Linked DNA regions of Drosophila melanogaster. The protein of the gene in region 1 binds, or shares a complex with, the protein of each later gene. Each region holds a gene or a part of one and is shown in the gene's direction. Other genes may lie near its edges. The genes, in order: nito, vir and fl(2)d.

Evidence for each region.
Region 2: nito (region 1) and vir share a complex: the UniProt entries of both Drosophila melanogaster proteins name them as parts of the WMM complex.
Region 3: nito (region 1) and fl(2)d share a complex: the UniProt entries of both Drosophila melanogaster proteins name them as parts of the WMM complex.

What each region holds. Positions count from the first base shown.
Region 1 is NT_033778.4:7,960,412-7,964,164, forward strand, and holds the start of nito (spenito), read left to right. Parts: upstream 1-2,051; 5' UTR 2,052-2,192; intron 2,193-2,357; 5' UTR 2,358-2,431; coding exon 2,432-2,982; intron 2,983-3,040; coding exon 3,041-3,753. Other genes in the region: Septin5 (septin 5), read right to left, coding at 1-1,238. UniProt on the Drosophila melanogaster protein: RNA-binding protein that acts as an associated component of the WMM complex, a complex that mediates N6-methyladenosine (m6A) methylation of mRNAs. M6a modification plays a role in the efficiency of mRNA splicing and is required for sex determination.
Region 2 is NT_033778.4:23,364,603-23,368,355, reverse strand, and holds the start of vir (virilizer), read left to right. Parts: upstream 1-2,000; 5' UTR 2,001-2,101; coding exon 2,102-2,167; intron 2,168-2,232; coding exon 2,233-2,909; intron 2,910-2,968; coding exon 2,969-3,753. Other genes in the region: Ice1 (uncharacterized protein), read right to left, coding at 1-1,252. UniProt on the Drosophila melanogaster protein: Associated component of the WMM complex, a complex that mediates N6-methyladenosine (m6A) methylation of mRNAs, a modification that plays a role in the efficiency of mRNA splicing and is required for sex determination.
Region 3 is NT_033778.4:13,822,446-13,826,198, reverse strand, and holds the start of fl(2)d (female lethal d), read left to right. Parts: upstream 1-1,645; 5' UTR 1,646-2,070; coding exon 2,071-2,407; intron 2,408-3,753. Other genes in the region: CG13339 (uncharacterized protein), read right to left, coding at 768-988, 1,042-1,279. UniProt on the Drosophila melanogaster protein: Associated component of the WMM complex, a complex that mediates N6-methyladenosine (m6A) methylation of mRNAs, a modification that plays a role in the efficiency of mRNA splicing and is required for sex determination.

The sequences.
Region 1 (3,753 bases):
GTGTGCGAACCATTGGCCATCTGGAGCCTACGACGCTGTAGCTCCTGGCAATCCTCTTCCAGCTGCCGACGGGCCTCTTCCAGTTGGGCCTTTTCCTCCAAATGCTCCCGTTTTAGCCGGTCGAACTTAGTATGCAATTCCTTCTCGTTGTCCTTCAGCTCGTTCTCCTTCTGCTTGACCCGCTGAACGAACATTTGGCGCACTTCCTCCTCCTTGGCCTGTAGGCAAGCCAGATGGTCGGATCGCTTCGACTCGAAGGTCTGTTGGAAGGAGACCGGCTGGTTGTTGCTGTCCACGTCCACAAAGCCCATTTGTTGTAGGCGCCGCTGGCGGAAGAGCTCATAGTGGCGTGTGTGAGTCTGTTCGCGCAGATCCTCCATGTTAGTGCGAATGAGCATCTCGCGCAGCTTCACAAAGTCGCAGTGCGCCTCGTTTTCTATGTGCACCGCTCCCCATGGATATTGGCGGGCACGAACCTGCTTTCCGGCCACCTTTACAAACTCCGTACTGCCAACAACGGCAAAGGGTAGATGGCCGTTCATCGCAGCATTTGTTTCGGACACGGTTTCGTCGTCCATGGGAAACTGGTATATGCTCACATTGTTCCGCCGTAGTTCGTCCATTATGCGTTCCTTAAACCCCGACAGCTCCGACTTGGAGATGGTGTCGGCCTTCGCGATCACGGGAATGATGTTCACCCTAGTGTCAAGCTGCTTCATGCACACCAAATCCATAGCTTTCAGACCATGGCCCGTGGGACAGATGAAGTACAGGCAGGCGTGAACGCGTCCATCATGAGCACTGGCCATCGCTCGCTGGATCTTGAGCTCTTCCTGCAAATACGCTTCAAACTGGCTGTCCACGTACTCCACCAAAGCCTTGTAGCTGTCCGCTTTATTAACCTGATCTCCGTATCCGATCGTGTCACAGACGGTCAGCTTCAGGCGGACGTTGCTCTCCTGCAGCTCGTATGTATTTGCCTTCAGCTTCACATTGGGCAGGTTGTGCGGGCTCGGTGTAGATCCAAAACTGGTATTGAACAGTGTGTCCATGAGAGTGGATTTCCCGAGAGCGGTCTCGCCGATGCATAGGATATTGAAGCTAAAGCCATTCTGGACGCTCTTGTTGACCAGCTGGTCCGGTAGGGTGTCGAACCCCACGTGGCCGCCGAGTTGAAGGAGCCTGGGGACTTTGGTTGCCACCTCCTGCGTCTTCTTTTCAGTCACTAAATGAACCATTTCGCCAGTGCTTTCGTTAGAATAATGTCACGACCCAGCGCAGGCGCCACTCTTTATACCCGGAATTCTCGTATGTGCAGCCTGTGTAAACCCTAGTCGTTTTTCTTAATAAGCCATTTGGATTTTCCTGCATCTGGTGGCGTACCGAGAATTAAACTGTATCTAAGAGTTTTCTACCTGTGATTCCTTTTACCTGCAGCCTTGACGATTTTAAATGCGGTGCCCGCCTCAGTTGTCTATCGAGACAGTTCTGCGCGACTATATCGATTAAAGCAGCTTCAACTAACATTTATCAATTGCAGTTAAACAACGATGGATTATTCGATCAAAATGAATTTTATTTATCAGAAAGATAGTCTTGCGACAGTACATTTTATATATGATTTCTGGACTATGACGCCACGGCTGGCTCGAATGAAGTCCCATCTGGACGTATTATATTCGATGACTTTTTCCAACATTTGTGGTCATATATCGGCAATAACACGGCAAATGTTAAGTCGGTCGCGATTTTGAACAGTAATGCCAACTTAAAGTTCTCCACCTCATAAAAAAATCCTTTACAAAACGTATATCGCGTTGTCTTAATCTCGCGTGTTTTAAAGATTTATGATCTTAAAACTTAAAAACTTTTATTGTTATATCTAAGTTCGCCGAAATATATTACAGAAATAGAAACCTATTAAAAACTACATTGAAATTATATATGATTATAACTATGTCATTATATAAAAATGAATCAAACGTTTGGCTATAAAATGGACAAATATGGCTCGATACCATGAACGGGACCATCAATGGCGATAGCAAACACGTATCGTTATCGAATACCGCAGTTAACTTTCGACGCATACAGAATTTGCAAAGCCGGAGGAAATTGAAGAATTTGTGGAATATCCGCGACTTAATAGTAAACTAGCACTTAAAAATAAACATCCAAAAAAGCCGGAAGTGGTAAGAACTCTAAAAACGATCTGAATTGCTCTGATTTTAGAATTTTTCCGCCTAACGCGATTTTCTTTGTTTGCGGGGCGCCGCCATTTTCTTTTTACCTGACCGCCGCTTGTCTTCTTGCATTTCGCCCGTACTTTCACAAAGCAAATCTCGAATTCTTCGCAGAATCCCCGGAACTAAATTGCCAGAAAGTTCTCAGGCAGCACACACCGAGTTAAAGCGCCCCGGAATAGCCGCCCATGAGTAGTCATCGAGACGGAGCCGGAGCCGATCGTATCACAATCAAAATTCACAACATGAAGCGTAGCGCCTCGCGCTCCCCGGGCCCGGCCTCCAGGAGCAGTTTGTCGCGCAACTCGCGAAGCATGGGTCGTGGGTACGACAACGGCAGCGGCGTGCCTGGCGATTCGCCGGAGCGCCTGTCGCCGGAGCGCATGCGACGTCGATTGGACCGCTCGCCGAGTCGTTATGGCTCCCCGCACCGGGAGCCCTACATGCGTGGTCCACCGCCTGCAGAGCGACCAGCTGGCTACAAGGTACTTTGCGTCAGTGCCCTGCCGCCAAAGGCTCCGGACGATTTTATCGAGGAGACACTGTACCGCGAGTACAAGAAGTTTGGCGATTTTAGCGTGCGACTGGCGCACGACTTGGATGAACGGGTTGCTTACGTTTGCTTCCGAACGCCTGAAGATGCACGCGAGGCGAAGCACCATAAGCCGCGCCTGATCATCTACGACAAGATGGCCATTGTGGAGCCGGTGTACAAGTCCACAACCAGACCGGAATATAGGTGGGATTTATTTTTGTATTTATTTTGTTAGCCTTGGCTAATCTAAGATGCTTTGCAGACCACGCGGTCACTCAATGTCCCCACCGGACTATGAACGTTACCACTACTCGAGGTCCCCTATGGGACAAGGCGTTCCTTTGGATCACCGTCGACCTCCGATTGATCCCTACGATCGGTACGGTCCTCCCCATATGCATCCGCACGCAGTCCATCCACGTGATTACCGCCCATTGCATCATGACTATCCTCATCCGCCACGCGGACCACCTTTGCATCGCGGCGGCCATCCGCATCACCTCCATGGCCATGCGCCGCCCCATCAGTATGCTCCAATGAGGCCATTGGCACCACGCCCACACGCTCCCTATGAAAAGCCTGAGAGCAAGAAGGACAAGTTCCCCAATTACTTGCACCATGTGCAGCCCGAGGATGATCCTCTTTCTACGCGCACACTGTTTGCAGGAAATCTGGAGGTTACCATCGCCGACGACGAACTGCGTCGCATCTTTGGCAAATACGGAGTGGTAGATGACATCGACATCAAGCGACCGCCGCCGGGTACGGGGAACGCGTTCGCGTTTGTACGTTACCAAAACCTGGATATGGCTCACCGAGCGAAGATCGAATTGTCTGGACAGTACATTGGCAAGTTTCAGTGCAAGATCGGATACGGGAAAGTGACTCCGGCAACTCGTATGTGGATCGGAGGCTTAGGTGCCTGGACTTCTGTCACTCAGCTGGAGCGAGAGTTTGATCGCTTCGGTGCGATCA
Region 2 (3,753 bases), about 15 Mb from region 1:
ACCATCTGGTGAAATCCGCCTGACTGACGCTTGGTGGCGTGGCCATGGACGGATTGGAGCGCCTCTGCAGCAGGGCAAGCACCATTTGGCCAAAGACCTGCCACAGCTCCTCGAAGGCCTGCGGCGGCAGATTGGTCAGGCAGCTTTGGTTTTGAGGTAGAAAGTTGAACAGCTCCTTGGCGAGCTCCCTGGAGGATCTGGCCTCCTCCTTTACACTATCCAGCATTGTTCGTGAGGGCGGCCTCGAGGCGGACACCTTTATTTGTGTCGGCAGGTCGGTAACGAAATCAATCTCGCGGTGTATATCACACAAAGTGGTACAGGTGGCCACACTCGCATTGGTCGGTACGTCCTCGAGCTGCAACTCCTGCTGCAGATCGCTCAGCGGACTCATGGGCTCAATTACGACATCATCTCGCCACGATAGCATTTCATCAAGTATCTGCCGAATATTTGGCAGGGGCTTTGGTTCGGGAAAGCATGTGCCCACATCGTGGTGCTTGATGAAGGAGGCTGTAGTGGTTCCCCGGGTGGTGGTGGTGTTCTTGTGTTGCGTGGCCTGGTTGCGCGTCTCTATCAGACCTTCCACTTGCACAGCAACAGAGCAAAGCGCGGGCTTGGGATCAGCGGGTTCCTCGTCGGTTTGCGTAGATTGGTTGACTCCGGGCTGATGGGCTTTCCGTTTGCTACGTGAATTCGGGCTCTTTGGCGTGGGCACGCTTACGTCTATAGTCTTGCAGTGCTCCCTTAGCTTCTTCATGATGTTCTGATCCCGCCGCAAAAGTCCACAATCGTCGCCCAGCCGCTGGGAGAACTGCATGAGTATGGACAGCACATCCTTGGCTTCCACGGGTAGTCCCCGCACTTGCAGCTGCTCCTGCAGATTCTCGCAGTTCCCAACCTGTACGTCCAGCTCCTTTTCCAGCTGTCCGCATCGCTCGCCGATCTGCTTGGTGCGCTTCTCCAGCTCGATCCTCTGTTGCTTCTCCTTCTGGTACAGATCCGTCACCTCTTGGGCGGTGCGCTGCAGGTCGGCCAGCTGTTTGTTTTGAGCCTGCAGCTGTTTCACCTGGCGGATCAGCTCGTCGTTCTGGGCTATTCGCTCGGCCAGCCGGCTTCGCTTGGCGTACACATCTTGGTTGCTCCTGGGCAGCGACACCTGCTTATACGGCGCCACCAGAGCATCTTGCAGCGGTGCGCTTGGGCCCAGAAGCTGATCTATATTGAAGTCGGAGAACTCGTCCAAATTCATGTTGCGCAGACTTGTTGTTGCTGGATTTCACGTGGTTGCGTGTTCAAGCGCCACTGCGGTTCTAGAACTTGCAGAAAACAAGGAGAATCCTCATTTTCCACACAATTCGCTAGTCGGTCACGAGTTGGACAATATTAAGCTGCGCATCTGGCGATTTAATACACAAAACAGAGAAATAAAACAAAATCCGCGTTTTTCTCTGCAGCCGGTCTCCAAAACATTTCCCTTATCGACAACCCAGCACGAGCCTATCGATATATATGGTATGGGACTATTTTATGGAACTCTTATAGGTCGTTCTCACTACTTCGTTTTTGATAGTTCACACTTTATTTATAATAAGAGGTTCGAATTATAGTTTGATAATATTGTAGAGGAAGTAAATTTTGAATTACTGATAATAACTAAATTTACATGATTTGCGTGCGTCCATTGAAGGGAAACAAATGTACTCTGAATCAGTGCGATTCCCTGCGTTAGGTTTAAGCCTATGGTTTTTAGGGCTATTTTACAATCTTTTAGAAAACATTGAGAGCATCATTACCAAAAATGGGGAATATTGAGAAAAAATCCAATTCATTTCTAGACATGAGCCAATTGTGACGTTAAAATTTGATGCATTGTTTTGCGCAAGCTACTAGACTGAGACAATTTTTGTTTAGTTTTTAAAGATGTATTCAACATATTCTAAAGCATACCCTCTTGAATACCCCTACCAATTGTAGTAGAGCAATTGATGATATCGATCACTTATCGTCTTAAGTTCCATCCCTAGCAGTTGCGGAAAATAAATAAAACTTCCGGACTGTAGAAGATTTTACTGAAAAAGACTCGATTTAAGCACACAACATGGCCGACGTAGACGACGGGTCCGAGCTGCTGTTCTTCGACACTTTCTCGCATGAGGAAGTGACGGTAAGTGCCTCCAGAAGCCCCCACTCGGTGCATTCGCTGAACCCCACTTCCTCCTCTCCTCATAGGACATCAATTTGGATTTGGTGCAGTTTCCCAAGCCGGTCTTCATCACACAGGTGCGGATCATTCCTCTCGGCGCCCGAGTCCAGGCAGACTTTCCCGGCGGCGTTCGCCTGGGCGCCACCAACCCCTCCAAGTTCGACCTGGAGTTCTTCGTCAATGACCTGGGAATGCCGGCTGCGTCGGCATTCGAGAACCTCGGCCTGCTGCGTTACAACCAGAACGACTGCATTCACTTGGATTGCTCGCAGGAGAAGATCGTCACCGACGGTCTGGTGCTGCGCGGCTGGTACAGCACCATCACACTGGCCATCTACGGCATTTTCACCAACTCGGTGACCGAGCCAATCGCCAGTCCAACGCTGCCCTGCGAGCCCGTGGGCCCGGAGATAGCCAACCTGAGTGGCGAGGTGCTCCTCCAGGAGGATGTGCTGAAAGACGAGTGGCAGGAGCCGATGCAGGCCGAACTGCTGACCGCTCACAAAGGAAATGTCAGCGATTACGATCCGGAGGACATGGAGTATGGAATGTCGCGGGATCATTACCACCAGCATGCCGAGGAGCAGGAGCAGCGAGAGATGCGACGACTGCGTCGGTCCACGCATTCCACGGATCACTCACCGCCACCGCCCAGAAGATCGCACACGCATTCGGAGAGCAACGACAGGGAGTACATCAGGTGGTAAGTGGTTATCTGTTTTATTTATTATATTCAGACTTATCACAGACCTTTCATTGCAGTTCCCGCGACAAGGGCTCCAGGGATTGGTCGCGTTCACCGGAGTATTCCAGCCATCGGTCACGTCGCAAGCGCTCCGAGAGATCTCGCTCCGTTGTGGACGAGCACAAGTGGCCCAGAACCCCGCCCGCGTCGATAGACTCACCGACACGTCCGCGTTCGCCAGACACGATGGACTACGAGGACGAGGACTCGCGCTCCCACTACAAGATGCAGTCATCTCACTACCGGCACTCCTCCGAGTCGCTGCACCGTGGTGAACGGGATCGGGACGATGAGGACCGATCGTGCACGCCGCAAGAGCAGTTTGAGCCCATTCTCAGTGACGACGAGATCATCGGCGACGACGAGGAGGACGACGCAGTGGATGCGGCTGCCATTGCGGAGTACGAGCGGGAGTTGGAGGCTGCTGCTGCCGCTGCTCCTCCGGCCATCGATGCTTTCGAGCCGTGGCAGAAGCCACTGTTGGTCTTTGAAGGGGACATGGCAGCCCACTTCTGCAAGGAGCTGGAAACTCTGAAGCTGCTCTTTAAGAAGCTGGTCCTGCAAACCCGCTGTGAGAATGTTAATGCCTTCAGCGAGGAACATGGCGCTAGTGTGGACGAAAGGGAGCAATTTGTGTACTTGGGTGAACAACTGAACAACCAATTGGGTTACCTAGCCCAGCACTACAAGCGGAGGAACTTTGTCCTGCAGCAGTTCTTCGGAAACGATGAGCTACATCTGCGACAGGCGGCTAACGTGCTGCAGATTGCCCTGAGTTTCCAGGCGGCATGCATGCAACCAC
Region 3 (3,753 bases), 5.9 Mb from region 1:
TCTTGCTTATATATTTTTTTTCAAATTTTTAAATTTACCGAATGATTGGATATCTACAGTATCCAAATAAATTTTTTATAATAATGTTATGTCATAAATTCAATTTATTTTTAGTCTGCTATAAGTTTAAAAAAGTATTTTAAAACTTCTAGGCTTACTACTTCTCTCTCAAAATTTAGAAATTACCGATTGAGGATTGGATTTTTATAGATACTAAAAAACATTTTCAAAACAATGTTATGTTATAAATTTCATAATATTTTTGCTTGGCTTCTACAAAATGAAAATTTTTTAAAAAGTACTGCTTAATTTTAAAGCATTGTAGCTAGAAATTTCAATTTCAAATGAGTATTATTGCTTTCAATATTGTTATCAGATTGTTTATAGCTAAAACAAATATATTTTTTTTGCAATGTCGGTTCATGTCATTATGTTAATAGGGTTGGAACTGAAGATATCAATCCGAAAAACTGCCGGCTTTGCTCTGCTATAAATCTGTACTGAAATATTATATAATGTTAACTACTTCTTCACATTATATAGATCAAATGTATGCACTTGTTTTGTAGCTTTTTTCCAGTTCTTAAACAAATTTAGAAACTATTTAGAATAATAGAACAATTTTTGGATTAACACTTATTTTATTTTATTTACATATTTGTACAACAGCCCTAATATTAGATATTTAATGTTGTTCATATAACAAATATCCCGAACATCAACAATATTTCCTTATGATCTAATGACCCTTATGATCAGTTAAGCTTTCAGCCCTTTATGCAATTGGTTATTTCGGTCCAGAAGGCCTGAACTTCAGGATCCTGCATTAAACTACGTTTCTTAGCGTTCAAAACTATGTTGAGGATGTCGGCATTTTTGCAGCAATCCCGTCTGGCGGATTTGCCATCCGGCGCCTCCGGGGAAAAGCCTTCCGTCTCCTGGTCATCCATTGGATCCACTTCACCCGCCGGACTGCCCAATTGTCCAACTGCAAAATAACAATGTATTTGGGGGAATCTATTGCTTAATCAACTTAAATACCTTTCTTGCACTTGGTCGCCTCTGTTTTCGGTTTTTCTGTCCGTTTTTGGTAGGGTTTTCTTGGTTTTGAGACATCTTTCGTCTTGCTGCGCTTGGCATTCGCATCGGTGGGCAGCAATTCGGGACTCTCGGCGGGATTATCCGCATCCTGCTGCAGGCGCCGCTTGACGTGCAGATTCAGGCGCTCCTTGATGTTTTGCTGTTCCAGTTTTATTTGCACACCAGTGGTTTCTGCCATGTTTTTGCGTTTTGAATATAAAAACAATATCCAAAACAGTCCACCAGTGTGACCCCTAAATAAATCTTACAAAAAAATAAACAGTAACGTAAGATACAACTTTCTCACTTGTATTTGATTGTTCCTAATTATTTCTAACTATGTAAATATCGTTAGTATTGGATGCAAAGCTATGGCGGTAGACGTAAGGAAGGAATTATCAGTGCAATTTAGAAGTTAAATAAATTTGTTATCTAATAATTATTTGGCAAAATTTGTGGCAGTGTGAACGGAACTGGGTTGAGTCTCCGCTACCCCATATCCGAGCCACGCACCCCAGGTCTGCATTTGTGTCGATGGCAAATCTGGTATTTTTCAGCGACGCCATGTTGGATTGCGAACAACAGTTAACAGCAGCAAACGAGAAATCAGCTCGCAGCGCAGAAAAATTAAAAAATATCGCCGTAAAAGTGAGCCCAACCGACCCAAAACATATGAAAAGTGTGAATTAAAGGACAATAAAGATATAAATCATTAATTAAGCTTTGAGCAAGCGCGAAAAGTACGCGAAATCAACGTTTTGCAAAACGTTCGCCATACGCGTCGCCATTGGTGTGAGCGATAGCTTGCCTGTGTGTGCGTGTGGTATTGGAGGAGGTGAGAGCGCCTGTGTGTGTGTGTGTTTGCGTGCGTGTGTGAGAGCGAGCGAGCGGCCCCTATGAAAAGCAACAGCAACAACGCCAGCAAAGGACCCGCAACAACAACAACAACAACAGCAAGAGTAACAAGCACAGCGTTTTAATATCCAAATAATGAGTGTCGCTGCAATGACTATGGACGATCAAAGACCCTGTATGAACAGTTACGACAAAATGCCCCCGACCAAATACGAGCAAAACCTAAATATCCTAAACAGCAGCCAAAACAGTGGGGCCACTGGCGGCCCCGCCTCCCCAACGCCCTCCGGCTTGGAGGACCACCATCATCATCACCATCCGCATCCGCACCATCATCACCATCAGGAGCAGCAGCAGCAGCAGCAGCAACAGCAACACTTGCAGCAGCAGCAACAACAGCAGCAGCAGCAACATGCAGCAGCTGTTGCAGAGGCTGTTGCAGCCGCCGAACAGCGACAGCGCTTGCTCGAAGGTATTTTGCACATTTTGGTACACTGCTATATGATCAGAGATCTATCTGATCTATATAATACCCCCTATATACTACATACATACTCGTTTCGAATACCGACAAAAAAAAAAAGAAAAGGAAAAAACCACGATCCAAAGTGTTGACTCTGTGTAAATTGTATAAATAATGCAATATATAAACAACAAGTAAACGTAGTCTTTTAGTTTATTTCTGCCCCCACTCCACTTGGGTTTCTTGTGTCATTTGAATTTGTTTATGAAAAACACTCGGTAAAGAACTCAACGTATATATTATGTGAATCGAATCGAAGCGAACACTCTTTGCAACGAACATTCTTTCAGCGGCGTTTTGGTTAACTTTATTTATTTATTTTTTTCAACACCACCTCGAGCAAACCGTCGAATGTAGTGAAAGTGCTTTCAAAAAGGACCATGCATATAATAATCTATAATACCTAAATATGAACTAAGTTAAAAGGCAACTGACGCCTAAAGTTATCAAGTGATTACAAAGTGTTGTGCAACAGAACTATCTAAAATATAAAATATGAGTTAAATAATCATAAATAATATATGAGAATCGTAACCAATTATAACCAGTAAGCTGAGCTAAGCTTTAATATTGAAAGCAATCGTACTTAAAATAAAAAATTATAAAATGAATCATAAGAAGATAAGGTTAACGAAGTAAAGTTTAAGATTTTATATAATCTTAATGAGAAAACCGGGCTGATAATAACATCAAATGAATAGAGCATATCAAGTAATAATAGTAGAGAATCCTAATCGGAGATTTTCCTCGTTTTCCGTCGTTTTTGCGGTGTACAGTTTTCGTTTTGCGACCACTTTTCGTTTGCCTACGTGCCCGTTGAAGAAGAAGAAGAAGCACAGCAGCAGAGAAGTGGAGAGGAGAAGAAGAGAGCCAACGTGTCTGCGTCCCCTGCCCCACCCCCTGGACCCATCTTATTCTCTCTCTTCGCGCCCCTCACGCTCTTTTCGTCGCGCCTAAATATAAATAATAATATTAAATAATCAATTGAAAATGTGACAGTGCATAACCAAAGAGAAAATAAAGTTGAAATTCTTTTTCTGTTGAAATTGTGTTAAAGAAGTGAACGTCAAATGAAAAAAACATTGCCTCGTGTGTTCAAACAAATACAAATGTTTAAATAAATGGCGCCAAAATACGGCGAACATGTGTGCGTTTGTGTGTGAGTGTGTATATTCACAATTGTTAAGCTTACTTAATTGATTTTTAAACGCTTAATTGGCCGCCAATCAATCAATTAACATGCAATGTGGGACACACGCACATGCACACATTTGTTTGCCCCGATCAAATAGTAT